Linked DNA regions of Stegostoma tigrinum. The protein of the gene in region 3 binds, or shares a complex with, the protein of the main gene of each other region. Links are inferred from orthologs where the notes say so. Each region holds a gene or a part of one and is shown on either strand. Other genes may lie near its edges.

Region 1 (7,195 bases), on a different chromosome or scaffold from region 3:
AGCAACCAGAGGAAAGCCATACAGACAGTTGCCCAAGGCTGGAACTGATCCCCAGTTCCCTTTCGCTGACCAGTACTAACCACTGAGCCACTGTGCTGCCCTTGAAATGTGCTGAAATATAACAGCAACTACTAAAATGCCTTTGTAAAACATTTTTCATTATCTTTGGATAGGTCACGGAAGTGTTTTATTGTCAGGGACATAGTAAAAACCACCAATGCTGGCGTCAGAGATATCACAGCGTGGAGCAGAAGGAACACAGCAGGCCAGGCAGCACCAGAGGAGCAGGGAAGCTGACGTTTTGAGTCGGGACCCTTCGGAGGGATGGGGCTGGGGAAGGTAGGTGGGATGGTGATAGGTGAGTGCAGGTAGGTCGTGGCAGGGATTGGTCAGTGAGATAGGAGGAGCAGATGGGTTAGGAAGGAAGATGGACAGGTTGTGTTAGATCGAGGAGGCGGGGATGAGAGAGAGGGTTGGCCATGGGAATGAGGCCAGGGGTGGGGAGATTTAGTAAAGTCCACTTTGAGGCCAGTGGGTTGGAGGTGCTGCTCCTCGAGTTTATGGGTGGCATCATTGTGACCCTGGAGGAGGCGCTGGATATCGTCAAGGAAGTGAATTTAGTTTTAGTCACTATAGTTTTGCAGGCAAATGCAGCTGTCAAAGCATGCACAGTAACAGCAATGTGATATATTACCTCATGCTCTGACATCAGCATCATCACAGAAACCTTACATTGTGGAAATAGGCCCTCAGCCCAACAGGTCCACATTGGCCCTCATAACATCCCACCCAGACCCACCCCCTATACCCTACCTAATCTACACATCCCTGAACACAATGGGCAATTTAGCATGGCCAATCCACCTCACCTACACATCTTTGGTATGTGGAGGAAGCCCACACAGACATGGGGAGAACAAGCAAACTCCATACAGACAGTTACCTGAGGGTGGGAATCAAACCCAGGTCGCTGGCTCTGTGACACAGCAGTGCTAACCACTGAGCCAAACTGGCTGAGGGATACTGGCTGCTAAGGTTCCTAGAAAATTCCAAATAGTGTCATCAGGCCGATCTGAGAGAGCAACCATCTGCTCAGTTTAACATCTTATTCGAAAGACAGCGCCTACAACAACGCAACACTTCCCACAGTAACGTAATGAGGTGCCATTTTCAACTCTTGTGCTCTGGCCTGAGGAGGGTGAATTGACCTCAAAGCTTAATAAATCAAAGATGAGAGCGTCGTCACTGAGCCAAGGTTCATACTAAATAGACTTGAATGTTATAATTCCGGCCAGAAGGCACAAAAATTTGATTAATACTCTTACATCAGTGATGCCATTAATCTCCCATGACACTAATCCACCGACATCATAACCAAATTAACTATGCAGATGACAGATGCTTAAAGCAACACCAACACCAACACCAGAGTTGGGTGATCTGAGGTGGTGGAAGGCGCTACATAAATGCAGGTTCTTTCCTCCTTATTTTTTGGATGAGGAATCTAACATATGGATCTGCAATGGGCCAGCAATCCTGCAGATAATGTTCAGAATTCTTGTGAAAATTGACAAGCATTTTCACAATTTTGCTTTATTTTATCCTTTAGCAGTAGGATTGAAAAAAACCAAAGGACACAGGTTTGAGGTGAATGGCAAAAGAAGCAATGGCAGTCTTTGGAAAGACATTTTTCCGTGAGCGGTTATGATCTGGAAGATGCTGAGAGTGTGTTGGAAACAGGTTCAATTGTGGCTCTGGAAAGAAAATTGATAACTTTCTGAATCACAGACTTGTTATGATACAGAAGGGCGTCATTATTCCATTGTTAAAACAAATACTGAAAGAACTGCAGATGCTTTAAATCAGAAACAAAAACGGAAGTTGCTGGAAAAACTCAGCAAGTCTGTGGAGAGAATTCGGAGTTAACATTTCAGGGCCAATGACCTTTCCTCAGAACTGCTCTGAAGACTGCACTGGAATGTTAACTCTTCCACTGAGTCCAAACAGACTCTCCAATGAACATTATAACTTAGCACCACATTTTTCTCATTTCTTTACAAATTGTTTCTATGCAAATAAGCATCTAATGCCCTCATAAATGCCTCAATTGACTGCCTCCACCACATTGCCAGGCAATCCATTCCAGGCCCAAATCACTTGCATGAAAAGGACTTTTCATTATATCATTTTGCAACATTTGTTAATCACTTTTACACTGTGCCCTCTCATTCTTGATCCTTTTATGAGTGGGAATAGTTTCCTCCTATCTACTGTCTCCAGATCTCTCATAGTTTTGAAACTTTCCAGCAGATCTTCTCTTAGCCTTCTTATTCCTCAGGAGAGCAGTCCCACAGGCTCTCCAACATATTAACTCAAGAGAAAAACAAATAACGAGTCTAAAAGAAAAAATGGCAAGTGTATGTAACTAGGAGAGTCACACTTAGACGAAAGCAGCACCTACATGGCACACTGAAAGGCCACTTTGTCTATTTTGCTATAATTCTATGTCTGACTTGTAGAAACACAGGAGTTTCACGGGGGAGCAGGAGATTCAAGGTCTCTGTGCATGGAATGCTGGATATTCAGAGAGAGATCAAGAGATCCACTGTCTTTTTGTCTCAGCTGCAGGAATCTCACTGAGGGTTCAGGAGATCCATGCTCTATTTCTCTGAGCAACAGGAATCTAATTGAGTGATCAGGAGATCCAGGGTCTATGTGTAGCAGGAATCTCACAGAGGGTTCAGGAGATCCAGGGTCTATGTCTCTGGGCTCAGGAATCTCACTGAGGTTCAGGAGTTCGCCCGGAATCTCACTGAGGGATCAGGAGATGCAGAATCTGAGCTGCAGCAATTTAACCGCCGGATCCCGAAGAGCTGCAAATCTTCACCTGGTTCCGAGAGCAGCTGGAAATCGCCGCTGTAAATGGAGCCCAGAGCAGACACTTCCTCCTGTGCGGCCATGAAGGTTGAAACGGGGCGTGGAACAAGTTCCGGAGGTGGAGGCTTCATCCCCCCCCCACCCTTCCGCTGGCCGGGCTCCCGGCACTGACAGGCGGCGGGGCGGGGCAGCTACAGCGGCTGTCTGCGGTGGGGCTGGCCGGGGGAGGCGGGGAAAGAATCAGGCACTGTGGGGAACCCTAATCCTAATCTTTTTATTAAAAAAAGCTTGCAAAGCAGATTTAGCAACAAGACAACCTTATTTGTGGGGGGAAAGGCAGTAAGATTGTAACATACCTTTCAGATTGCTGTTACATTGAAATGTTGGGACATTTACACAAAGTTCTCTGAAGGGCAGGAGAATCTCAGCTAAATCTATCGGGCTCCAGCTGAGACCCCAGCTACTGGTGTGAAATTGAATCTCTGTTTGCACTGTAAATGAACTTTCGTATGTAACAGTGCTGCAATAATACGGCTTCAAAGAAGAAATAGCTATTTTCCAATGTCCTGGTCAATGTTTATTCTCTCATCAATGTGAGAATGACAGTGAGGGGCACAGATTTTGCACCTGAATCTGATGGTTGCTCTTTGAACTGTAATGTTTCTATTTTGGATATGAACAGACCACAGTACCCATTTAGTTTGTAGTGATTATAAATGCTCTTTAGGCTATACCCAATACTATCAACTTCGGTCCAACATGACAGTTTACAAATCCAACACATGGGAAAGTATAATGTATTAGTGTAAAATGTATAAAACAGTGGGTGACATTTTTAAACTACAATTAATCATTTTCACTAATAGTACACTAGGTGGGTCAGAATTTTCTTTAAAAAAAATGTTGTTAAAGGGTTATCTTTATACTTATTACATTGTGAGAGCGTTTGAGATAGAAATGCAACACTGCACCAAGTTAGACTCCTGGCTTTCTGTAACCATGTGACATCTACAATGAGGTACACTCAGTGCAGATATCCGTTTCAGGGTCAGTTCAATAAAGACACAGTGGAGGCAACATTGCTTGTGAATTAAAATCCCATTGCTGGGATTTAGAATTTTTAAAAATTACTTGGATGAGCACCAAAAAGTCATAACATTCAAGTCTACAGGCCTAGTGCTGGAAAGTCAGACCAGTGTAGATTTAGCATCATTTTGGCAATACAGACTCAAAGGACCAAAAGGCCTTTTCTGAACTGTATGATTCAATGAAGAGCTGTTTAGAGGCATAGCTACTAAAAGACAAACGCAGAAATATTTAGATCTGCTGAAACACTGCTAAAAGCTATAGTAAGTCAAAAACTGGACAAAGAGCAAGCCGCAGCTGAAAGGCTAAGCAAGATGCAATCAGTGCCACTTTTCCTCTCCCATACCAGTCGAAATGAATTTTGAAATGAAACAGGACTGACAATTTTATCATGACAAAATGCAATAGATTTACTTGATAAGCCAGACCAGGTATGAGCAGTTAGATTTTTTTCACTTTTGGGGCAAAATTGTTTCAAAGTATGTTCCACACAAAATCTCTGAAGAAAAAACTGCAGAAAGCTTCAAAACCTCAAGGGCAAATATTGATCCCAAAATGAACATAGGTTATGAATGGTACACAGTCAACTTTAGGGCCCAAGATGAAAAGATCAATTCTTAGAATCCAATAGCAATTAAAAAACAATTTTATGAAAGACTGGTTTGCATTAGGCATAAGAAAGTCTGCTGTAAGAGCACACCTACTGAGAGAGGAGAAACTTGATGGCACTGAGGATCAACGATTTTGTCATTGGGTGGGTCTGGTGCTGGCGACAGTTAAGTGCCATCATGGTCATCACAGCGATATCGAGGTGGGCCGAGCAGCAAGAGATGCGACCCTGGCATTGGTAGGTTCAGTGCAGTTGGTGGCAAGGCGGTGGCGGAGGAAATCAGCCCAGCAGCAAAATATGGCGCTTGAAGAGTGCAATTTCAATATTGATTGGGTCAGGTGTAGACAATAGTGAGACAGTGAACGAAGGATGTCAGTGCAGGCATCATTGATGATGAGATAACACAGTATGGAGCTGGAGGAACACAACAGACCAGGCAGCATCAGAGGAGCAGGAAAGTTGATGTTTCGGGTCAGGACTGTAAAATACACATGACAATAAAATCACTCATCGTCATTTGTCATTCATCATAAATAAAGTCGTTCATCATTACTCTCGTGAAAGCAAGCAACATGTGCAAAAGCACTGAGGTTACCAATCAGCAGCTACAGAATATTCATGCCAGAAAACACACCAGGCCTTGCATTGTGCTGATAGACATTCCAGCAGAAATGGAGGAACAATCACAGTCAAAGGGCAAGATGCAAATCCTGCAAATGATGTCACAGAAAGGCACAGAAGGCATATCTGGCATGGGGAAAGCTGTGGTCTCATGTCAGGAAGCTGAATAATTTTGAAAACAAGTGTCTAGCCAGTAGGAAGCACAACAAGCAGGTATAGATGGCCACTGGAGAGATATCGGCTGAAGACACTGCATCATAGAACATAGAACAGTACAGCACAGCACAGTACAGGCCCTTCAGCCCACCATGTTGTGCCAAATTTTTACCCTAAACCTAAGATCTATCTAACTTCCACCCCTACCTTATACTATCATCCATATGACTATCTAATAGCCGCCTAAATGCCCCTAATGAGGCCGGCTCCACTACCGTCTCTGGCAATGCGTTCCACGCCCCTACCACTCTCTGAATAAAGAACCTACATCTGACGTCTCCCCAAATCTACCTCCACTCACTTTAAAACTATGCCCCCTCATAATAGCTACCTCCACCCTTGGAAAAAGTCTGTGGCTGTCTACTCTATCTATACCTCTGATCATTTTGTCCACTTGTATATCTATCATAAAACAGGTTCAAGCAGTTCACTAAGTTACTAATTGTTTATGATTGTTGGAATGTTGACCACAGACGGAGGACATCAGGTAACATAAAATGTTAGATAGAGCCCAGTGCTTCATGCAATTTCATGATATTTACACCTACAAAGAGAGAAACAGGGTGTTCCAAAAGTAAACTTAAGGATTGTACCGTAGTCTTGCTAAAGGGACAGATTATTCAGTCAGCACAATGCAATGGCAGTAACAAAGATCGAAATACCAAGCAAATACTATTCATCTCAGCTAGCTGAAGTCTAGAGCATGGACTAGTAACCCTCAAGAAGCCAAAGGAGATTTGCAATGTGTCACTGCACACTAAACCATTGACTGGAGGACAGATCCCAGAGGAATACCATGCATTTACAAGTTTAGGACGTTTTTCTGAAGAATATCATCACAACATAGAAAAGAGTGTGAGACCAATTTAGTATCTGTCAAGGAAAGTTGCAGCTTCCCTCAAGGCCAAGTTGAGCTGCAAAAGGAGGCAATAATTCAGGAACATATTTAGAATGGATTAACAGCATGGTAGCAAAGCAACAACATGGAAAGTTAGAAGAATAAGAAAAATAGCAAATTATTGTGATGTGTAATTTTACAAAAAAATACAGTGCAAAGTTTTATAAGTTGCCATACCACAATGCCTACATTAATGACAAAAGGAAAAAACAGTAAAAGTTCATCACAGTACAATTAACAGCTCCTGGGGTTGGGGTACACTGGAAATCTGGGCTGAGACTGCCACACCGGGTCGAGGTGAGACCTCTGCGTCAGGACTAGGCCTCCATGTTGGGCCATTGAAAGACCTAGAAGCTGCCTCTGCAGCAAGGATGGGACATCCGTGTCGGGACTAGACCTTCACGCCGAGCTAATGGAATAGTCAGAAGCCACTGGAGAAGACCTCTACGCCAGACCAAGACTGCCCCACCCAGCCAAACGTGTCCCACCCCACACCAAGCCTATGCCACCATTATGGGCCGCCATTAGAAGCCACCACATCGCTGGGCCTGGGCTGGGAGAAAAAACATCATCCACAGAAGTTGTTTAAAGAAGGAAAGGTACCAAAATAAATGGTAATATTAAAATAAAAGAAAGAAAATAAGTAAAGTGATGGAGTAGATAAGCTTCGGGCTGCTGGGCTGAGGAACCTGCACATTGTGCTGCTACACTTCAACCATCTTGGAGAGCGTGCATTGATCTAAAGGACCTAAATAAAGCTCCCTGCCAGTGCCAACCATCAACCATAACTTTCAACAGCAAAAGCCTTCACTATCCTAGATATGATGATTAGTTATTAGGAAGTGAAGCTGAATGTAAGCTACATATATTCCAGGAACATGGGTCTG
Region 2 (7,917 bases), on a different chromosome or scaffold from region 3:
AACTGTCAATCATAAATTCTCAGGCAAAGGTAGATGGATTTTGATCTGTGTGGGCATTTCCATGGCAATGTAACAGAGTTTGAACAGCTCCATGGCTCTTTTTTGAAAAAGGTGCCATGAAGGGATAAATGTCTTTGTCTCCACAAAGCAGGATTCTGAGTATTTAACTTACATAGCTTCTAGCATGCACAAATATCTACTCGCTAACCTTAAATTGGTTTCAACTGTAACTCTTAGCATAGTCTGGATTAAGCAATAAATTATTTTCAATGGCAGAATCAGATCTAATGGTGGGTCCACTTTTCTGATGCTTGGAAGCACAGGCTAGTTGAGTGGCATGTTGCAAGTTGCAAGTTGCGAATAGTCACTGGGATGCTTGATGCAATCTGCCAGTCATATGGCCCATGTGATACCACATCAGCACTGGCAATCATATCATGTTATTCATTTGTATGGTAGGTAAAAACATCTGTCTGGTTTGTCAACAGCATCCTGTCAGTGCAGAAATCGACTCATGAATTTACTGAAAGTAGAAGAGAGAGACAGCTAGCTGCAACTATTGTTCAAACTTTTAAAACACTCCCATTCCAGTGGAATCTGAGGTAGACTGGTGACTGGTTTCTTGTATTGTAGTTCTCATGAGTGCAAGATAAAACGTTTCAATTTCTAATCTCCCTTTAAGAATGCATAAATCATGTCCACTGGAGTATATGGTGAGTTGTACTCAATATTGCACTTCAATGGAACATTGAGAGCAAAAGACGAAGGCATTGAGCCAATGAGTTCTGCATCAAAGGAAAACCGCTTGACAACAATATTTTGACTGGCCCCTTGACTAGGTGACCATGGTTGTGTGGGACTAGTGCAGCAGAGAAGATGCACAAACTGTCTCTTATATGAAGGCACTGAAATGTCTGTTTTCCACTTCCCTTTCTCTGCAAATACCCTACTGGAGGAATAAAGTGCCCTTAAATGAAGTAAAAGCAAAAGTTCTCAACAAATGAATGAAATAGAGCAACAGCATGAAATAAAGCCAAGAGCTAAAAGGAATTCAACACAAGAGAAAGAAAGCAACTCATCAAATCCTGTAATCCAGACCAGTGCTACTGAACTGTTTCTCACAGGTTTTCATCTCTTTTTCCAACCTCAATATTTGTATCTGGATGTTCATAAAGAGAGGTAAAATTTAAGAAAAGATAGAGTTTAAGTTGCACAGTTATAAGTGAAGAAATATGAATTGGTAATTGCCATTGATTGAAGACATTTGTTTGAAATAAACAATTATTTGATTGTTAAATACAGAAGCTGAGTGAGCAACATTGCTTCTAACCTACACCACTCAGAGATTCTCCACTCATTGATCAGTGTCCTGACACATTGGCATCGGAACCAGAAGCCACTACCGTGCACAGACCTCAGAAGTCCGACCAGCAAAACAAAAATACACAGCAAATATAGTTGGTGAGCATGATTTTTTAACTGGAGTTTATCAGTCAGGTAAACTGGGCGCTTTGGATAGTTCGACTGAATCTCTTCATATTTGTGATGATGCCAAAAATACAGCATACTACTTAGCAAATTTTGACAAAAACCAAAGAGTAACTTCTGACCTCAGGGCCTTGGTTTATCAAAACATCTTTGTTTCCTCAACAAAAGCAGTTATACATATTTTCAAACAAATAGAATGTTAGAAACATGGAACATTAGAAACAAAGCATTCCTCATCTCAACTGATTATGATATATAATAAGCTTCCTTTCAAGCCAATCTGCAGTACAAGGGTCTGTTTTTCTAGTTGATCTGTTAGGCCAAACAGACAGTTTAAACTCAGTTCACTCATATCTAGTGGGTCTAGGCCCGAAACGTCAGCTTTTGTGCTCCTGAGATGCTGCTTGGCCTGCTGTGTTCATCCAGCTTCACACTTTGTCATCTTGGATTCTCCAGCATATGCAGCTCCCATTATCTCTGATCACTCATATCTAGTGCTGTGCGGCTCAGCTTCAAGTAATTTACTTGTCAGCGCAGTTTAAACTTGGTAACTTGTATGAATTAGAACACAATCAATTCTGCTGGTGATAGAGGAATTAGTATTGTTTTGTTCAACATGCTAAACACAGCCTATATGTATTGCCTCTGCAGTCACACATGATGCAGAATTATACTGTGGACATATGGAAAAACATTTAAAAAATCAAGTTCAAGCAGTTATTACAGTAAGCACACGATAAGAACTAAACCTCATCATACTTTTAATTCTGTTCCCTAGCCTAACTGGGAATAATTTTGTTCACGATCTTCAATTAATCATTTTAATTAATCTCAAAGTACTTGAACTAGAATTGACAGATCTAATTGTGAGAAACAGGACTTGAATATACATAATCCATTTTGTTACGTATGAATATTTTTAATTAACATCATTGGATTGATTAGATGCTGTCTTAAATTATGTACAATATATTGACCATGTAATTTATAACCAGCCCATTTTGTCATGAAAAACTCCAAAGATTCAATACCAACTATAACATACATAATGTACATGTACGCCAGGATAGGCTAATTATAACAATGAAAATTAGGCTGCATTCGATCGTTAGCTCCTCTACTTCGCTGTACAGTCCTTAAGCAGAATTCAAAACTACCCCCCTCCAAAGTTACACTTTCACTATAAGTACATTTTACAACCAATTTAGATCAAAACAGACCTGCAAGGCGCGTCCCCGATCTACGAGGCGCGCACCCAAGATTTCTTCAGCTTCCTTCCCTTCCGCCTCCATTTGAACCCCGTGTTGAGTTGCAATGTTATACTCAGTGACCGAAACGCAAAGCAATACTAGCACAATATTTGTTCTTCTAAAAATGAAACGTAACCACCTACCTGATCAGACATCTTAACGTCGGACAGATGTAGTTTGAGGAATTCAACCACCAATAAATAGCAACTCTCTCACCGGCCACTTCTGCGCACCGACCAAGCACTTAAACGCGTCATGAGCGTCATGACGCACAAAGCATTACGCATGAGTCTCGTTCTCCATGCATCCTGGGAGTTGCAGTTTTTCCCGTTTGTATTCCTCACTCACTCAGCGCCTTCACTTACAGCGCCACCTGTTATGGAATGGATTTCTAGTTCCGGGTGCGCTTTCTTCCACCATCAATCGACGCAACAAAAGAGAAAACGACATTTTACACAAGGAACTATGGGAATAAGCTTTATTTTAAATGTTAGCTGAAAGGCCCAAACTACAGTAGTTTAAAAGTCTAATCCTAGGTTCTCCAATTGTATCATCGTTTCTCAAATGCCTCGGCACGCAAGTATTACTTTGCAGGAATTTTAGTTTTTATTTGTGGTTTGCAGATCTACACTGTTTGGTAAACTTCTGACTTGTTAAAGAGTTGTTAGCATTGTAATGGGAGTGGCAGTGAGATGAGAATATGTGCTCGAAAATACTGGAGGCACTTTGCAGATCAGGCCGTAGCTAGAACAAGAAACGATCAGGTGGATGATTTAAATATAAACAGCTTTTAAATTAAAAAAACAAAGCAAACAAAAAGTGACTTGTGGTGCAATGGTTAAATGTCCCTATCTCTGAAACGGCCTGTATTGGAGGTGTGACATGACATGTCTAAAGAGGCTGGTTTTAAAAACTATAGCCCAGAAAAGGGAAAGAATAAAAATAAAAACTCATCTATTTTAGAGTACAAGGCAGGAGAAATCTTAACCACAGTATTGTAAAGAAAGAGCCAAATATTGAAACATCAAGAAATTTTGTATCAAAGTCACGTTTTTGTTCTAAATTATGGACTAATATTAATAATCTAGTTTGTTATAATTTAATTAGTTTGGCTGACTGGAATTTGGAGTTTTGCTGGGATAGTACTTGGCACTTTTCTCCAGTTTGCTCAAGTGTCCTGATCTTCAGATCCCATGAGCCCCTTCCTCTTTAAACTGCTTCTTGTGTTTACTTTTAGCAAAACTCAGAGCCTCCTGCTTGCCCTGGGAATTGACATTACTCATTTGCCAACCTACTCCAGCAGATGCAGAACTTCTTTTCTATGGAATTTGGAGCTGGCAGGGAATCATCCTGGTGGTGGCAGAAGTGGGGTCTGCCAACCATAGGACACACTTGATAAGTAGTCTGATGGTGATTTACTGATGGGCACCCTGCAGGGCTAAGCAAGGTGAGCCATGTCATGTTTTATTAAACTTTCCACTTGAGATAAATTTGTTAGGTTATAATAGTTTCTGGCTCAAAACACATAAGCAAATCGAAATAAGAGATGCTGGAGAATCTGAGGTAACAAGGTGTTGAGCTGGATGAACGCAGCAGGCCAGCAGCATCAGAAAAGCAGGAAAGCTGATGTTTCGGGTCTGGACCGTTCTTCAGAAATCATTTCTGAAAAAGGGTCCAGACCCGAAACTTAAGCTTTCCTGCTGTTTTGATGCTGCTTGGCCTGCTGTGCTTATCCAGTTCTATACCTTGTTACCTGCAAATGGAAACAAATGAGGTTTTTAAAAGGGAGACTGGTCTTGATCCTTGCATATTGAATAATAAAGGTTGCCAACTCTGGTTGGACATATTCTGGGAGATGTCATCACATGACAGCCAACATTCCTCCCATAATCTCCTGCTGTTGGCAAGTGAAACATGCATATCGTCACGGAGCCCTACCTTACCAAGGGATTTCAATGGCCCCTGGCTTTGACATTTAAAAATCTGGGTAGCATAACATTAGTGCTTAATTTAGTCTTTCAACAGGTCAGAGGTCTTTATAAATATTTTGTTACAGCATTTGAAAATAATTGACAAATTTTTAAAAATTTCTAACAATGATTTATTGTGCTTTCTGTCTCAGCAGACAGCATGTAATGATAACCAACCTAGAAAAGTATCTCTGGTTTTGAAGAATGAGACAGATTTCTAAAGCTATTGTGTGTTAATTTATTTCTGTATAGCCAAAAACTTCTTATAAAGCTGACATTCAATCATGTCCTTTCTTGTGTCTAAACTCTGGACAGCAATGAGAGGAAACCAGAGTATAGCCTGTTCAAACAAAACTTTTCCAAGCCTAGATCTCACTAGTGCAATTTTGATGAAAGAAGCAACCAATTCACAATTGGCTTATGCATAGTATTACAACTTGCAAATAAGTTTATCAAATACATGAGCTATTTAAGAAGAACTATTGAGGTTCACATGACACTATTATAATAAAATCTCAAAATACTTTGATCAAAGCAGCAATCAATCCACAATTAAAGCAGAAAGATTGATTTCTAGCAACACTAGTATGAATTAAGATTAATGATTTAAGCAGCAAAGTATTACTGAAGTTATTTACCAAGCACAAGCAAAGATATCAAGATCCAAGCTCTAAGTAATTTCAGAAATTACAACAACTTACGGAATCAGGAAACAAGTAGCTTTAAGTTATGTGCAAGGCAGGTAGCAAAAACAGCTCAGGTTCGAGGAAAGACAGGATGGGCATGTTCAGGCTGTAGGCATGCTGTAAGCAGTTTTACTTAGAAATTGCAATCTTGTAATCAAGTTGCAAGTGTTGGCATAAGTGCAGCAGTAATCAAATGGCAAAAGAGATTCTGGTGTAATTTTACATAAAACTTAAGCTGAAACAGTGCATTTAAGATATTTAAACTGTATGCATTACAATTAATCCAAATGCAATAGATAGTGATTTATTTATCCCTGAGATTAAGACCATCCAGTAAGCTTTTTCTGGTACATCCCTCTCTTCCTCTTGTCCAATTATCCCCTCAAAGACCCGAACTTACATCTTTTTCTAGTTTCTCTTCTGTATTTCCCTAATGCACTCTCCCAGCACAACTCATCCATGAGAAACAACTCCTGCTTCCTTTCTATTCTGCGTGAGCAGTTGACCACCCAATTTTTTCCTTCTTGGCTCTCATGTTCGCTGATGAAGAGCCATTTAGAAAACAGTATTTTAAAACTACACTGAGAAAAATAAAGGGTTTGTGTCTATTCTTGTTCAAGAACAACTTTTAGGTTTCTGAGATCTTCTTGCCACTAACATCATAAATATTGTAATTTTCATGCATGTTTTATGTTGGCAGCCTCTGTTCTTTGCTGCTAGATGGCAGATAATCACGTAGGTAAGAGTGAACAATAAAAGACAATATTTAAGTCCAGCATTCCAGAAAAAACCCATTCTAGATGTCAGCTGCAAAAAAAATGACTGCCTTTTTTATGAAATCCCTACAGTGTGGAAACAGGCCCTTCAGCCCAACAAGTCCACATCGACATTCGGAGCATCCCACCCAGACCCATTCCCTTATAACCCACCTAATCTATTCATCCCTGAACACTATGGGCAATTTAGCATGGCCAGTCCACCTAGCCTGCACATCTTTGCATTGTGGGAGGAAACTGCAGCACCCGGAGGAAACCCACGCAGACATGGGGAGAATATGCAAACTCCACACAGACAGTCACCTGAGGGTGGAATCAAACTTGGGTCTCTGGCGCTGTGAAGCTGCAGTGCTAAACATTGAGCCACCGTGCCACAGCAATTCACAATGCGATTAAATGATTGTGTGACTATGTCAAAATGTTGTGAGTGACATTTTACTTTCAATTAGATGCTAATTCACTTTAGTGTTTACTTTAAACATACATGTACACCTGGTGAACAGAGTCCATATCATTACGTTAGCTGTTAATCTTTGTTAGAAATACCGGCAAGATAATGCTACCAACTGTTTGAAAATTTTGTTCAAAAAGGTTAAAACTGTTAAAATGAGTGGCAAAAAATAAAAGAAATTCCCATTTAGCTGAGGAACTGATGCATTGAATATTATTATATGAAGGAGCATGTTGCCTACACAACTACGAAATATAGCCTTGCAATTATCAGCACTTCAGTACTCAGTGAATCCTAACTAGCTAATCTTTTATTTCAGTTTATACTCAAACCAGATGGCAGCACTATACCTCAAGTATCAATTTAGTCCTCTAGCATTCAGAATACAATTAGTTATACTACGTTTCTTCAAAGCAGTCACCAGTAGGCTGCAAGTATTGTATGAAAAAATATACCGTGCAGCCAATTTGTTACTAGTTATTAAAAACTGAAATTTTCATGATTCAAGATGACTACACACTCTGACAAAAATTGAGGACATGTTGTAAAAAACTATGAGGCAAATAGCTTATTAACTGTTAAGTTATGTGTGGGAGTGGAATACTGTTTGTTCAAAATAACCCAGAAATTCTTTTACATCAAATTTATATCAGACTAACAGGCCATTAAGCTCAATTTTTCTACACTGGTGTCTGTGTACCCTACATCCCCCTCAAACCTTATTTCATTTTTTTATTACCATCTCTACTTCTATACATAATTCCATTTTAGAATCAGATTTCCTTAAAATAATGGGAAACTTTCATCAAGCCTCTAATCCTTGCAATTGGGGTCACATGTTCAAACTGCTTATGAGCTGATTTGAAGCAACCTAATCATTGGAAAGGCCTCTATCAGCTGGGGCTACTTTTTGGGAAAATCATGGTGTTTTGTTTACTTAGTGTATCAAGCAAAATTGTGACTTTTTTTGTCAATGGTTGAAATATCCTACATTTCATTGTCCCATGGAGTCTTCAAGAAAAATTTCTCCACAAATTATTGTCTCAGCATGTTCTAGTAGCTGTAGCTGACAAGAATTGAAATTTCATTTAATGGATACATGTTCAAGGTGCAAGAGGACATTTACAGCTGCTAGAGGGAGAGGACAGAGATAGAGAGGATACCGAGACAGGGGAAAGAGGACATTACAACAGGAGGAAAAGGTCATAGTGACAGCATATTGTACTAAAGGAAGAGAAGACAATGCAGTGTGGCAAAGTATATCTGGTGCAATAAAGGAGGGCATTGTGGCAGACG
Region 3 (7,768 bases):
AATACAATGGCTGCAAAAGCAGGTCAGATGCTTGGAATTCAGAGCCTGGCCACTGTCTAAAAAGCACATGCCTGGAGTGTGATGTAATTAGCTCCACTTGTTTGAATGGCTGCAGCACTAACACCACAATGTGGACATGATTCCATTGGCATTCCACCCAACTTAGCATGACAGCAGTGTATCCCATCTACATGGCATAGTGCAGTTTCCAATGCCCATGCAGAGCAAAAACCAACCACAGTATCCAATGGTTGCTTCAAATTCCAAAGCTACAGCCACACTGAAAGACATGATTAGCACAGACAGAGAAACACATCAATCATCTTGAAAACATATCTTAACCACTAGCCCATAATTCTGGTACTCCCTGTCTAACAAGACAGAAAATAAAAATCACAGGATCTCCAACAGGTCACCACAAACTGCAAGATTCCATCATGAATGAACAAATGACTTTTGTCCAGGCACCCACATCCATTGCATACATACAAACTATAGTTAGGGTCAGACTGTATGACCTTTCCTCCATTGTCCGACAGAGTGCAAGCATCACTGTTTTGTAAAAGGTGGACGAGTCCACAGGAGCAGGGAAGAAAGTAAGGTAAGAAAGTTTGGCCTTCCAAAATTCACCAAGTTTACCACAATAGCTGACTCTAAGTCCTGAACTTAGCAAAAACTAGATGAGAAAGGGTAAGAAATAATTTTCATCTACAGACTACTGTCTAAACACATGCACACATATGAACAGGCTCAGTCGTCATCCAGAAAATTTATATTTGCAATCCAAGTAAACTTCCCAAACGACATCAAAAGAAACTGATGCATAAGGTTTCACTAAGTCTTTTAGTTTGAATGTTAAAAAGTCAACACAAAGGCAAACCAATATGCAAGTCCTATTCTGTAGAAGCCATAAGCTACAGGTTAATAACTGGCACCACTTACCAAGGCAGCTTTCTTAGCATGTGGCACCAAGTGCAGTCAGTCTCAACTTCCAGCAATAGAGTTTGACTGCCTTCTTTGATGCAGGATCTGACTCTCAAGCATTCTCTGATAACTAGCTGTCTACCAGAAAGTGCCAGATTCAATTACCATCAAAACTGCATACTTCTTTCAATTTAGCAATTATAGCCATGACATCTGGACTTTCCCAGAAGCATCTTCATCTGGCTACCCAGTACAATCAATTTCCACAAACCCTGATCTTCATTGCAGCCAGGCAGTTTCCATGGCTTTACAGATTTCAGTTTTCTCAGCAGGCTCCTGTATGGTTTCACTTAGAAACAGAGTCTGTTTTCTTTCTACTGGAAAGGACCAATTGAGGCCTGCTGGTTCATACCTCTAGTTGAAATGAGGTTTAACTCCTAAGGAAACTGAAGCTATGTTCCTTCCTCAGACATCTGATAGCACAGCCAGGGATTTTAATACAGGCAAGATCTTCACAAAGGTCCTCTTGTGGTGCAGTGATAGTGTCCTTAAACCTGGGCTGAGGGGATCAGGCTCAGATCTCACCAGTGTCAGAAGTGCATAATACCATCTCCAAAACAGGTTGGCAACAAAAATGGGTTCAATTTTAAAAATGCTCTTGCCTCTTCTCCACACCCAAATAATAAAACTTGGGTTTCTTTCTTGCTGAAAGTCTTAAAAAAGTTTCACCACAGGAAGTTGACAGTATTACAAAAACTGTTAGCATGGATGCATTTAAGGGTAAGATAATTGAATAAGTGAAAATAAATTGAATTTATTAGGATGCAATGAAGTACACTGAGATAATGTTTAAGTTGGGTCAAATGGACTGCTACTACAAAATCAAAGCATTCAAAGTTACTAAAAGATCAACTCAAATAAGATGACAATATCTGCATAGAACAGTCTCCTTCCTAAATGTATACTACACAGATCATTTAAAAAGTTAACCTTATGCCACTCACTCCAGAAAAATAACCGGTTCTATTCAAGATAGAAACGTTTCCTATAACATTAAACTAATGAACATTAAATCTGCAAAACACTACTTTGCCAGACATCATCTCCCACACATACACTTTGCACATACAGGACTCGTTGCTTTTACAGACACAACAAACTGGGCAATTTCAGCATTATATCTGAACAAGAGACAGCAAGGCAACACAGGGAAATAAAATCAAGACCAATCACCTGCATGTAAAAACATTTAAAGTTGCTTTAACTTCTGAAGTAGCATCAGCAAAACAGATCAATACTAGATTGTCCTTGGCTTTCCCAAGAAGCTTAATTTTTTTCATTAAATAATCATTTTAATTTATTACACAATTCAAATCTTCACCAACATCTACTTTAAATTCATACTTCACACCAAACATTCCCAAAAAGCCACAATATTATGATCATCCGTCCTCAGGAAAACAACAGAGATTAAAACAAACGTTTAGTGGACTTCTATAGCAAAAATTAAAAATCTGTCTCCTCTTCATAAAAGTCGCCACTGACTTTTAAATAAAATCAGTTATTTTCAAAATTTGCCCAAGGCAAACATGTTCCAATTTAAGTTTGATATGGAGCTTAAACAAAGTCAACAGTAAATAGGGAGAGATGCACACCCAAGTATGGAAAAAAAAATCAGATTTACAACAGCTGGAATAAGAAGGAAGAGTGAATGTGTGCCTAGTCTGTGGCTTCTACATAACAGCATGCAGGAAGGTGTCGTAGAAATGAGGAAAGGAAAGGGGGAAAAAGAAGGGAAAGGCTACTTATTAACATCTTAGGAACCACACCCCGTTATTAGAGCGGGGAGAAAAGGGTGCTCTTTAAAAAAAAAGTCGCGAAGCACTTCTTACCTTCAGCGACAGTGTTAATTTGGGGAGGGGAGGGTTGGGGGATGGGGAGGGGAAAGTGCTTCAGGTGACGGAGCTGAAGCGATAACGATGTGTGTGCCTCTCTCCCTCTCCCAGTCCGTCCGTCTCTCCCGCGACTCATTCACATCCACAGAACAACAAGGGAACTGAGTGCAATATGGCGGCGCCAGGACCCCGTCCACCCCGTCAGGCCCCCGACCAGGACGACTACATGCCTGCAAGGAGGGGAGGAGGTTGTGGAGAAAACAAAAAAAAACACTTCCGGTCTGTTTCCCCAGTCCGATGGCCTGTCAGTTGTTTTTCTAAAAAAAACAGACGCAGAAATAGTTCTCAAACGCGGCGTTTTTAATCATCATTCCTCAGTTCCAATACATCCTTTTTAATAACGAAGCAGGTTTTGATAAAGGGCATGTATTTAAAAAGCACATAAAAGCAGGCGCGTATTTTGCCACCTAAAAGATCGAGCGGCCAACCGGTTGGAACCGGTTTGATCCGGTTTCGTTTTGAAAAAAAAACCGTTACGGAGCGTTTCCTCGCGTATTTTCTTTCGTGTTTTTCTCACAGTGTGTGTTTTTCGTAAGTTTAGGTGAAAATTAATTATTTTTGACACTCGTTCCCCCTCCCCCGGTAAAAAGGCCGTTTTAAAGGGGAAACGCCGAAGAATATTCGAGAAGCCACCACATGGCGTCACATGGGGGGGGGGGGGAGTGCTGCTGCGATGACGTCATTGGCTCAACTCGCAGAACTTTCGAGAAGGTGAAGGCTGCGTGGGAGGGACTATAGTGCGGGGCAAAGCCATCAAAAGCCCCCTCTTGGCCACATCTAGTGACTTGTTTTTCTCTGGTCTGAGTAAAGGCTCCACCCAAGATGGGTGCAGCATATAATGAGGCCATTCAGCCTATTGGGGAACAGTGCTGGCTCTTCAGGATAGCCATCTTGCTTTCTGGTTGACCAACTGTTGTTTAGTTTTGGATTATGGCCCACACGGGCTGGTTGGACCAAAGAGCCTGTTCTGTGCTGTGTGATTGTATAAATGTGGCTGGGAGAAACTAAAGGGATGTTTAGCTGTGTGAGTTGCTGGCAGAAGCTTGAGTATGGGGTGTGGAGGACGTGGCACAGTGGATGCACTTGTAAGTGGGGCTTATGTTGTAAGCGGTGCTGGTAAGAAGTTTGCATCTGTGGGGTGAGGGGTGGTCTTGTGAATGAGGAGGTGTTCATGCGATGTTGCATATGTGAAAGATTGGTGGGGGGCATCTGCTGCCGTGTGGTTTGCCCCAATTTTGATGATGTGGATGTGCTGGTGTTGGGTTAGAAATCAAACAACACCAGGTTGTAGTAGGAATTTATAGAAGGCAACATTAACTGTCTATAAATTGTGAACTTTTTGAACAAAATAGAATGTATCTGTGTATAGAAATAAGACCAGTGTGGCTCCAAACCAAAACATAAACAGATTCTAAACAAACCCTCATTACCTAACACACATTGTCTGACCTAAAATGTCACTTTACACTGATGAAACCTTTAATTCTGTCAGGACAGTGACTTGAAAGGAATTTGGGAATTTACATATGCAGAGTAATCAATTAAAACTTCTAACTGCTAAAGATTTGGCAGTATCTTAAGTTTAATACATCCTCATCAGTGGTGTGACCCTCTGATCTTTTACTTAGAAATTTCTGTTTCTTATACTACCTTGCTCGCTGACACCTGAAGAAGAAGTGAGGCTATGAAAACTTGTTTTTGAATAAACCTGTTGGACTATAGCCTGATGTTGTGTGATTTCTGACCTTGTCCAATTTTGAGACTAGGTCCATGCCCCTCCTAGACTTCTATGTGACTGCCCTGAGCACAAGCTGTAAACCTTCCAACCATGTCATGTCTTGCACAATGGAAAGGTGTGCCTGGCATCTGAGACAAAACACCTCCTGTCCAGGCCTGAAGTGGGCCTCTGGGGGGGAAAAAGCCAAATTATAAGACCAATCCAAGAAAATGTGGCACGGTTGATGACCCTGTGTGATAGTCACAAGAAAAAAAATTACTGATGTGCTATTACACCTTTCACCACTTCAAAATGCCCTCAGTGGGTAGTACAGCCATTGAGATACTTTTGGAGCATACTTACTGTTATAAGTAAACCTGCCAGCTAATTTGCATGCAGCAAGGTGCAACAAACAGCAGTGTAATAATAACTATAATCTTTTCATTGATGTTAATTTAGACATAAATAACGGTTCTGGACTAATGAAGATAATCCCTGTTGTTCTTTGCCATGTTTTACAACTCCATTTATATGGTTAGGCAGACTCCGTGTTCAGTTCTTCACCTATTTATTGTCAAAGGTTTTTTCTTGTTTACTTTGTGTGACAATTTGGGATCTTAACTTTTTATGAAAGTCAATATTATTCTTTTTAATCTCTCTCTGATGAAGGGTCACGGCCTGAAATGTCAGCTTTTGTGCTCCTGAGACGCTGCTTGGCCTGCTGTGTTCATCTAGCTCCACACTTTGTTATCTTGGATTCTCCAGCATCTGCAGTTCCCATTATCTCTGATACATTATTCTTTTTAATTTGTTTTCATTGTTAATATGGATTTAAAACTCAAATTTGACCATGATGTAACCAACTGGCTGAAGAAAATAAATGCCCTTTTTGTGTTTAACAGAACCTAGAACTTGCCTTGATGTGGTAAAAGGCGCTGATCCAGTGTTTGTTATTGTAAAATGGCCAGATTGAGGCGTCTAGTTTTGGTGTAGCTATGTTGCATGAATAAGTATTTAATCAAAATATTTTTTACCATCTGTTCAGAATAATGTGAAGCAATGGAGAGATTCACAGCACAAGGAGTACATCCCTGTTGTTCTTAAATATAGCATTATGAGACCTTGATTTCGCAACTAACCCGATAAGCACCTTCAATATAGCAGTGCTCCTTCAGTGGTGTTGTGACATTACAGTTAAGTTAATGATGAACATGGTCTATTGATATTTAATTTCCATCATCTGATTTTAATACCTGGGATCTTTATTGGAATAAATTTAACTTTTCTAAGAGCACAAATACAGAGCTTAAAAAGGCTGGTGTGATCTCCTGACCATATTGAGCAAAACTCATGAAACTGTCAATATACAAGGATCTATTTGAGCCAAAATTAACCAGGTCATGAAAGACACTGAAACTTCGATCTGTTCTTTGTTGATTTACACCTTTCTGGAAGCTATATGTTTGGAGGAATCTGGCCTGCAGATCATCCAGCTTGGTAAAATAATTATGCCAGACACCTGACTCTTCAATGAACTATATTTCAGTCAACAGCTTTGGAGTAGCAAATAGAAAAAGAAAAATGAACCAATCGCAAGAAGCTGGAAGTCTTTTTCTTCCCATCTTTCTCAAAGTCAATGTCTGATGGAAAAAAAACACTTTACAAGAGCAATATTCACCCAGAATGCAAGAAATACGCAAACTTTGGCAAAGTTGAATAAACAACACAACAGCTCAACATTCAGAACTCATCATTCTCAAATTCAAGGACTCTAATAACTTTAAACTGTGCCTGCATTTACCTTCCTCTCTCGGACATCCACCACTTTTTAAAGTGTGGCTGTGTGTGTGTGTGTGTTTTTGGGACTGGAAGGTAATAAAATTCCTCTTTTGCTCAAGAAAATGTTGTATCCTCCTTTTAACCTAACTGATTTCATTTGAAGTGTGATACTTATTTGCTAAAAGAGAAATAAGTATTTGCTATGAGAGGGCTTTAAAAAGATGGGAGGTGTTTTTGTTTCCTGTCCTCACTTGTTAGCAACAAAAATGAGAACAAATTGCACCATTAGAACCCAAGTACAAACAAAAGAATTGGAGTGGATACATAAATTGTTCCATCAAAAAACTTTTTAAGTAAAAGAAACTGAGTCTAAGATTAAAAATTGCTAAAATGGCCACATTTGTTATTAGAGCAAGATAGAATAACATATGAAAAGTTAAAAGCTTTGTCCTTAGAATTAAAAGGGGTAGTTAGACATGAAGTTTCACCCACATTGTAAAATGTGTGGCAAGTATTTAGAGACAGAAACTAATTAGAGCAGCTAAGATTAGAATTAGAATTCCAACAGCTGAAAAGAATTACATGAAAACGCGAGGTTGTGAAGGAAAGAGAAGAGAATTCCAAGAAAGAAAGGACTTTCCAATTCAGACAGCTTGACCTGAGGAGGGAGATAGAAAACTGCTCTGGTAAGGGAGCAAGACTTGCATTTAATGCCTGAATTATTTACATTTATTGATTTAATTCCTAAACTTAATGAGTAAGAGCTGGACACATCTCTTTTGAAAGGTTAGCACTGTATTTAAAGTAGCCAATCCACTGTTGAACATTGCTGTTGTAGAGCAGCTGACAGAAAAAGCTCAAAGATCACTCACTTTGTCTTATGTAGAACATGCCATTTACTATGAAGCAGCATAGGAGACTATTTTAGTGCATATCAGTCTTGCTAGAGGCATTGAGACAAACGTTTTGTACCCTCAAGAAATAATCTACCTGTCCTATATAACTAGAATATACAGGCTTTAAGGTGCTCATTTGTACCCAATAAGTATGGATACTTAAAATTCAGGCCATCTAAGAAAACCTCTGTGAGGTACCATGAGTTGGTCAAAAACTCCATATCGTTTCTATTTCAGACTTCTTTCGAGAAACGTTGGAGAGCAGGGCCCAGACAGCCAGCAGTTCTGGCTGACAGCTAGGGGTTAACACATTGTCTTAGTAACTCAGGAAAGTGGTTGTGGAAGCTGCCGAGACCAGAGAGGGATAAATGTAAGGCAAATGCTAAGACAAGCTGGAGAGAAAAGGGAAACCAGACAAAGAAATCAGAATTGACCCTAAACGTTAACAGGGTAGGTTGAGGTGGGAGACATTTGGGAAATGGCAGAAATGTTACTAT
Region 4 (7,606 bases), on a different chromosome or scaffold from region 3:
AGCATCCTGGTAAACTTCCTTTGCACCCTCTCCAAAGCCTCCGCATCTTTCCTATAACAGGGCGACCAGAACTGGACACAATACTCCAAGTGTGGACTCACCAGGGTTTTGTAGAGCTGCAGCATAACCTCGCAGCTCTTAAACTTGATCCCCCTGTTAATGAAAGCCAAAACACCATATGCTTTCTTAACAACCTTATCCCCTTGGGTAGCAACTTTGAGGGAGCTATGCACTTGAACACCAAGATCCCGCTGTTCCTCCATACTGCCGAGAATCCTGCCTTTAATCCTATATTCAGCATTTAATTTCGACCTTCCAAAATGCATCACTTCGCATTTATCCAGGTTGAACTTTATCTGCCATTTCTCAGCCCAGCTCTGCATTCTGTCAATGTCTCGCTGAAGCCTGCAATAGCCCTTGATACTACCAACAACACCTTCAACCTTTGTGTCATCAGCAAACATAATAACCCACCCCTCAACATTCTCATCCAAGTCATTTATAAAAACTACAAAGAGCAGAGGCCCAAGAACAGAGCCCTGCAGGACACCACTCAGCACTGACCTCCAGGCAGAATACTTACCATCTACAACCACTCTCTGCCTCCTGTCAGCCAACCAATTCTGAATCAAGAGAGCCAAATCACCCTGCATCCCATACCTCCTGACTTTATGAATATTTTCAGCATACAAACAGATGTTTTCCTTCCTCAGAAAAGATGGCAGCTGGGGTGACATTTCTGATGAAGGGTCTAGGTCCGAAACGTCAGCTTTTGTGCTCCTAAGATGCTGCTTGGCCTGTGTTCATCCAGCCCCACACTTTGTTATCTTGGATTCTCCAGCATCTACAATTCCCATTATCTCAGACCTAAAACGTTAACTGGTCGTTTCTTCACAGATACTACTATACCTGTTGAGCTTTTCTGGCAACTTGTTTTTGTTCCTGATTAGCATCCATACCTTCAGTTTTTCAGTCACAGGCTATAGAATACTTTCCCTATAGCTCTCTGCCTCGCCTTCCTCCTTTAAGGCACAAAGGACCTGCTCCTACGACAGTTTTTTGTTATCTGTCTTTTTAAGTCAAATGGCTCAGTCTCATATACCATATTATAGTGCTTTTTTCAAGCACATCAGGACAATTCACTATTTTAAAGCACTGTAGGAGTTGATCTTCCTCTCTGTATACATTACATACACACTAACATCAGGAACAGAAAAACATCTGGTAACAGAATACAATTGGAAAAGTTAGAGTTTAAAACTGGATACAGAGAACAAGATGGATAACATAAGTATTTTAAAAGATTTCAGCATTTATATTGTTTCTTATCACTACAACATGGATTTTGTGGTTTTGATTAGTCAGCCAACTTTAGTCAGTGCATAAACTGTAAAACTTTTAGGATAGCCCAAGGAGATTTGTTTTAAAATAGCACATACTGGAAAAAATTCTTTACCTCTTTGCAAGTTCATACTCCTTGGCTTCATAATAGAGTTTTGCAAACAAAAACCCTTTGAGGGATTTCTGAAAAGGAAGTTGGAAGGTGATGTGAAATAGACAAAAATTTAAAGAGTACACTTCAGAAAAATTCCTGGGGATATACAAATTTGTTTAACAGCTCGCTGCATAAAATTCATCAATCGGTACAAACCATTATTACATCTGCAAACAAAATAAGAAGTCAATGAACTACTTGTAGCAATTCGTATATTTCACATGCTGATGTGAATAGAAACTATCTATTAAGCCTCTATCAGAGATAATGGGAACTGCAGATGCTGGAGATTCCAAGATAATAAAATGTGAGGCTGGATGAACACAGCAGGCCAAGCAGCATCTCAGGAGCACAAAAGCTGACGTTTCGGGCCTAGACCCTTCATCAGAGAGGGGGATGGGGGGAGGGAACTGGAATAAATAGGGAGAGAGGGGGAGGCGGGCCGAAGATGGAGAGCAAAGAAGATAGGTGGAGAGGGTGTAGGTGGGGAGGTAGGGAGGGGATAGGTCAGTCCAGGGAAGACGGACAGGTCAAGGAGGTGGGATGAGGTTAGTAGGTAGCTGGGGGTGCGGCTGGGGGTGGGAGGAAGGGATGGGTGAGAGGAAGAACCGGTTAGGGAGGCAGAGACAGGTTGGACTGGTTTTGGGATGCAGTGGGTGGGGGGGAAGAGCTGGGCTGGTTGTGTGGTGCAGTGGGGGGAGGGGGTGAACTGGGCTGGTTTAGGGATGCAGTGGGGGAAGGGGAGATTTTGAAACTGGTGAAGTCCACATTGATACCATATGGCTGCAGGGTTCCCAGGCGGAATATGAGTTGCTGTTCCTGCAACCTTCGGGTGGCATCATTGTGGGACTGCAGGAGGCCCATGATGGACATGTCATCAAGAGAATGGGAGGGGGAGTGGAAATGGTGTGCGACTGGGAGGTGCAGTTGTTTGTTGCGAACTGAGCGGAGGTGTTCTGCAAAGCGGTCCCCAAGCCTATTAAGCCTCTATGACTAGTTTAGTTTCTTCAAAAGCGGGATCAAAACTGAAAGTCTGGATGAGCTTAGTTTATAGAATCCAGCATCGCCAAACTTCAAGAGACCACTGCCGCCTGCACTATGAAACAAAGTGCTAAACTACAGCTGCTTAACAAATTGATAGATTTTTGCTTAACTCCTCAGAACACAACCGCAGAGCCTGCGAGGGGCGAGGCCTAGGAGCTGAGGCCACAATCTGCACTGCCCGCGCTTTCCTGGCCAGCGCAGCCCGCAGCGTTGGACACTCACCTCACGGGGCGACAGCGGCGTGACGCCCTGCACCGAGGCAATGTACCTATCCACCTCGGCCTTGCTGCGCATCATGCCTCAGGCCGCTGTGTGTACAAGGTTTGATAAACGCCGCTCCTCAACAGACCAGTTCCGGTCCTACACCATCCCTTCCGATGGTGAACACAGAGCTTTCAACACCGGTTCCGCGATGCCGCGCGGCCAAACTGTGCCTAATGGCGCACACTGCGCCTGAGCCTTCGCCCGACGCTCGCCAATCACAGGCCTGCCGCTGACGTCACAAGGAACGCCGGACGTAATCCCGAGGTAACGGCCACAACGTATGCGAGATTACATCCAAATCTCGCGAGGTTGAAGTTTTGGATTCGAATGAGCAGTTTTATTTTGATGCTCCATAGTGAGAGGTTTAATCCGGTCACTGAACGTGTGTTCACACATAAAAGGTGTAATCTTTTGTCACAAACTCACAGGAGGTCAGTTTATTTTGTGCAAAAACAGAAATTGCTGGAAAACCTCGGCAGGTCTGGCAGTATCTGTGAAGATAGATTAATAAGAGAACTCACTTATTCAGAAAGGGTCAGGACGTGTAACGTTATCTCTGCATTCTCTCCACAGATGCTGCCAGACTTGCTGAGCTTTTCCACTAGTTTTTGTTTTTGTTTCAAATTCTGGCATCTGGTTTCGAATCTAGTTTGTATTATGTCTTTATTGCATTGGCACTAAATTGAATATTTTGTAGTGAGCAAAAGGCAGGTTACTATGGCAAACCATGAGCACTTGAGTACCACTCTGTGTACTTTGTGTTGTATTTCTATGCCGAACAACATTTTCAGTTGCAAAAATAACAAAATTGCATGGCATGTGTTACTATTTACAATGTGGGACACCGAAACTACCAAATATGCACGTGTTCCAATCTATTATATAAAAAAAAAGAACTGCAGATGTTGGAAATCAGAAACAAAAACAGAAATTACTGGAAAACTCAGCAGGCCAGGCAGGATCTGTAAAGAGGAAGACAGTTTACATTTCACATGCAGTGACTCTTCATCAGAAAGATTCTAATAAAGGGTCACTGGTCTCAAAAGGTTAACTCTTATTGACTGGCTACTAACAGTGAAAAAAACTGCTCCATTGTATGAATTTATGCTCCTGCAGTTGCAACCATAAATTGATGCATTCATTTCCACTGTACACAATTGAAATGACAACTGCTCTAGGCAAGTTGTAGGTTACCACTTGGGTTGACTTTTTCGAAGTCAGAAGTTACAGGACCCTCGGCTATAGTCGAACAGGTTTATTTGAAATCACAAGCTTTTGGAGCACCTTCATCAGGTGGCTTTGACTGCTGAAGCCAGACAGGAGTGTTGCCTCCCAGTCAGGAAACAATTCAGCAGTCAAAAGTATTCAGCCTCCGATTGTTGGGTAAGCATCCTCCAAAGTGGACTTCAAGAAACACAACAATGCAGAAACACCAAGCAGGGACTGATAACCAAGTTCTGTACCCATGAAGACGGCCTCAACTGTGATCTTGAGTTCATGTCATGCTACATGTGACCTCAACGCACTTCTGCACCTGTAAAGTCTTCCTTATTGGCTGTTTTGACACCATCTCCTTGATAAATTGTCATGATCTCTCATACTTACTACTTTGGTTAGGCCTTCAGCATGTGACTCTTATACCTATCATGTTATTCCAGTCATTTAGTATGTCTCCAGCAACATCTTGCTTTTGATTTTTTGTAATTCTCTCTCTGTCTCAATTAGCCAGATTATAGATCATCCCTTCACTGGGTAATCAGCTGTTGACACTTTTCTCACGGTCCAACACTCATGGTCACCTGCAGAGACTTATTATCTGACACTCCACCCACACCAGTTAGCATGATCTTTTGATCTCTGAGCCCTTGATCTCTCTGCCTATAAACTCTATGTCTGTGTGCTTCTCTCTCACTGCACCCGATCAAAGGGCTACACTCGAAAAGCTTGTGATTTGCAATAAATCTGTTGGGCCAAAACCTGGTGTCCTGTGAGTTCTGACTTTGTCAACCCCAGTCCAAAACCGGCACCTCCATTTAATGATCTCGTCAATATATTGAACGTTGCACCCTGACTGACTCCGCAGTGCTCAACTCTGGAAATGGGTTACTAGTCTTATCAAAATTAAATTTGGATTTCTGCTATTTCAAGATAACAAGTTGTGGAGCTGGATGAACACAGCAGGCCAAGCAGCATCTCAGGAGCACAAAAGCTGACGTTTCGGGCCTAGACCCTTCATCAGAGAGGGGGATGGGGAGAGGGAACTGGAATAAATAGGGAGAGAAGGGGAGGCAGACCGAAGATGGAGAGAAAAGAAGATAGGTGGAGAGGAGAGTATCGGTGAGCAGGTAGGGAGGGGATAGGTCAGTCCAGGGAAGACGGACAGGTCAAGGAGGCGGGATGAGGTGGTAGGTAGGAAATGGAGGTGCGGCTTGAGGTGGGAGGAAGGGATGGGTGAGAGGAAGAACAGGTTAGGGAAGCAGAGACAGGCTGGGCTGGTTTTTGGATGCAGTGGGGGAAGGGGAGATTTTGAAGCTGGTGAAGTCCACATTGATAACATTGGGCTGCAGGGTTCCCAAGCGGAATATGAGTTGCTATTCCTGCAACCTTCGGGTGGCATCATTGTGGCCCATGATGGACATGTCGTCTGAGGAATGGGTGGGGGAGTTAAAATGATTCGCGACTGGGAGGTGCAGTTGTTTGTTGCGAACCGAGTGGAGGTGTTCTGCAAAGCGGTCCCCAAGCCTCTGCTTGGTTCCCCCAATGTAGAGGAAGCCACACCGGGTACAATGGATACAATATACCACATTGGCAGATGTGCAGGTGAACATCTGCTTGATATGGAAGGTCATCTTGGGGCCTGGGATAGGGGTGAGGGAGGAGGTATGGGGGCAAGTGTAGCACTTCCTGTGGTTGCAGGGGAAGGTGCTGGGTGTGGTGGGGTTGGAGGGGAGTGTGGAGCGGACAAGGGAGTCGCGGAGAGATTGGTCTCTCCGGAAGGCAGACAAGGGTGGGGATGGAAAAATAGCTTGGGTGGTGTGGTCAGATTTTAGATGGCGGAAGTGTCGGAAGATGATGCGTTGTATCCGGAGGTTGGTGGGATGGTATGTGAGGGCGAGGGGGATTCTCTTAAGGCGGTTGTGGCGGGGGTGGGGTGTGAGGGATGTGTTGCGGGAAATGCGGGAGACGCGGTCAAGGGCGTTCTCGACCACTGTGGGGGGAAAGTTGCGGTCCTTGAAGAACGTGGACATCTGGGATGTGCGGGAGTGGAATGCCTCATCCTGGGAGCAGATGCGGTGGAGGCAGAGGAATTGGGAATAAGGGATGGAATTTCTGCAGGAGGGTGGGTGGGAGGAGGTGTATTCTAGGTAGCTGATGGAGTCATTGGGCTTTAATTGGACATCAGTTTCTAGCTGGTTAGCTGAGATGGAGACAGAGAGGTCCAGGAAGGTGAGGGATGTGCTGGAGATGGCCCAGGTGAACGTGAGGTTGGGGTGGAAGGTGTTGGTGAAGTGGATGAACTGTTTGAGCTCCTCTGGGGAGCAAGAGGCAATGCCGATATAGTCATCAATGTAACGGAGGAAGAGGTGGGGTTTGGGGCCTGTGTAGGTGCGGAAGAGGGACTGTTCCACGTAACCTACAAAGAGGCAGGCATAGCTTGGGCCCATGCGGGTACCCATGGCCACCCGCTTAGTCTGTAGGAAGTGGGAGGAATCGAAAGAGAAGTTGTTGAGGGTGAGGACGAGTTCGGCTAGGCGGATGAGGGTTTCGGTGGAGGGGGATTGGTCGGGCCTGCGGGACAGGAAGAAGCGGTGGGCCTTGACGCCATCTGCATGGGGAATGCAAGTGTATAGGGACTGGATGTCCATGGTGAAAATGAGGTGTTGGGGGCCAGGGAATTGGAAGTCCTGGACCAAAGGGGAGAAAATGGAGTCCAGATAGGTGGAGATGAGTTCAGTGGGGCAGGAATAGGCTGAGACAATGGGTCGACCAGGGCAGGCAGGTTTGTGGATTTTGGGAAGGAGATAGAAACGGGCCGTGCGGGGTTGGGGAACAATGAGGTTGGTGGCACATCCCAGATGCCCACGTTCTTCAAGGACCACAACTTTCCCCCCGCACTGGTCGAGAACACCCTTGACCGTGTTTTGCGCATTTTCCGCAACACATCCCTCACACCCCGCCCCCGCCACAACCGCCCCCAGGGGATCTCCCTCGTTCTCACATACGACCCCACCAACCTCCGGATACAACGCATCATCCTCCGACACTTCCGACATCTACAATCCGACTCCACACCCAAGCTATTTTTCCATCCCCACCCTCGTCTGCCTTCCGGAGAGACCACTCTCTCCACGACTCTTTTGTCCGCTTCACACTCCCCTCCAACCCCACCACACCCAGCACCTTCCCCTGCAACCGCAGGAAGTGCTACACTTGCCCCCACACCTCCTCCCTCACCCCTATCCCGGCCCCCAAGATGACTATCCATATCAAGCAGATGTTCACCTGCACATCTGCCAATGTGGTATACTGTATCCAGTGTACCCAATGTGGCATCCTCTACATTGAGGAAACCAAGCGGAGACTTGGGGACCACTTTGCAGAACACCTCCGCTCGGTTCGCAACAAACAACTGCACCTCCCAGTTGCGAACCATTTCAACTCCCCCTCCCATTCCTCAGACGACATGTCCATCTTGGGCCTCCTGCAGTGCCACAATGATGCCACCCGAAGGTTGCAAGAACAGCAACTCATATTCCACTTGGGAACCCTACAGCCCAATGTTATCAATGTGGACTTCACCAG

Evidence for each region.
Region 1: the proteins of SUMO-conjugating enzyme UBC9 (region 3) and rwdd3 are in contact, whole or in part, in a crystal structure (PDB 4Y1L), measured with the Homo sapiens proteins. The link is inferred for Stegostoma tigrinum from reciprocal best matches to the Homo sapiens genes UBE2I and RWDD3. Residues at the interface, in NP_003336.1 of Homo sapiens: Leu6, Ser7, Ala10, Gln11, Arg13, Lys14, Arg17, Lys30, Gly34, Thr35, Met36, Leu38; in NP_056300.3 of Homo sapiens: Glu3, Pro4, Glu7, Ser10, Val11, Ala13, Ala14, Ile15, Cys17, Pro98, His101, Glu102, Leu105.
Region 2: the proteins of SUMO-conjugating enzyme UBC9 (region 3) and sumo1 are in contact, whole or in part, in a cryo-EM structure (PDB 9B62), measured with the Homo sapiens proteins. The link is inferred for Stegostoma tigrinum from reciprocal best matches to the Homo sapiens genes UBE2I and SUMO1. Residues at the interface, in NP_003336.1 of Homo sapiens: Asp19, Lys48, Asn85, Cys93, Leu94, Ser95, Arg104, Lys110, Gln111, Leu114, Gly115, Glu118, Leu119, Glu122, Asn124, Asp127, Pro128, Ala129; in NP_001005781.1 of Homo sapiens: Gln29, Asp30, Ser31, Gln55, Gly56, Val57, Arg63, Tyr91, Gln92, Glu93, Thr95, Gly96, Gly97.
Region 4: the proteins of SUMO-conjugating enzyme UBC9 (region 3) and ranbp2 are in contact, whole or in part, in a crystal structure (PDB 3UIO), measured with the Homo sapiens proteins. The link is inferred for Stegostoma tigrinum from reciprocal best matches to the Homo sapiens genes UBE2I and RANBP2. Residues at the interface, in NP_003336.1 of Homo sapiens: Ile4, Ser7, Arg8, Gln11, Glu12, Arg13, Lys14, Ala15, Arg17, Lys18, Phe22, Gly23, Val25, Val27, Lys30, Met36, Glu42, Cys43, Ala44, Pro46, Gly47, Lys48, Lys49, Trp53, Glu54, Gly55, Gly56, Leu57, Lys59, Pro69; in NP_006258.3 of Homo sapiens: Leu2651, Lys2652, Leu2653, Pro2654, Phe2657, Phe2658, Tyr2660, Tyr2666, Val2667, Glu2669, Glu2671, Glu2672, Asp2673, Asp2674, Glu2675, Asp2676, Phe2677, Ala2680, Val2681, Leu2684, Gly2686, Lys2687, Leu2688, Tyr2689, Leu2690.

What each region holds. Positions count from the first base shown.
Region 1 is NC_081361.1:83,531,032-83,538,226, forward strand, and holds the start of rwdd3 (RWD domain-containing protein 3), read right to left. Parts: upstream 3,014-7,195; 5' UTR 3,009-3,013; coding exon 2,888-3,008; intron 1-2,887. UniProt on the Homo sapiens protein: Enhancer of SUMO conjugation.
Region 2 is NC_081384.1:28,437,966-28,445,882, reverse strand, and holds the start of sumo1 (small ubiquitin-related modifier 1), read right to left. Parts: upstream 3,001-7,917; 5' UTR 2,894-3,000; coding exon 2,882-2,893; intron 1-2,881. UniProt on the Homo sapiens protein: Ubiquitin-like protein that can be covalently attached to proteins as a monomer or a lysine-linked polymer.
Region 3 is NC_081391.1:9,384,629-9,392,396, reverse strand, and holds the start of SUMO-conjugating enzyme UBC9, read right to left. Parts: upstream 3,016-7,768; 5' UTR 2,817-3,015; intron 1-2,816. UniProt on the Homo sapiens protein: Accepts the ubiquitin-like proteins SUMO1, SUMO2, SUMO3, SUMO4 and SUMO1P1/SUMO5 from the UBLE1A-UBLE1B E1 complex and catalyzes their covalent attachment to other proteins with the help of an E3 ligase such as RANBP2, CBX4 and ZNF451.
Region 4 is NC_081359.1:65,881,688-65,889,293, reverse strand, and holds the start of ranbp2 (E3 SUMO-protein ligase RanBP2), read right to left. Parts: upstream 3,004-7,606; 5' UTR 2,837-3,003; coding exon 2,762-2,836; intron 1,525-2,761; coding exon 1,457-1,524; intron 1-1,456. UniProt on the Homo sapiens protein: E3 SUMO-protein ligase which facilitates SUMO1 and SUMO2 conjugation by UBE2I. Involved in transport factor (Ran-GTP, karyopherin)-mediated protein import via the F-G repeat-containing domain which acts as a docking site for substrates.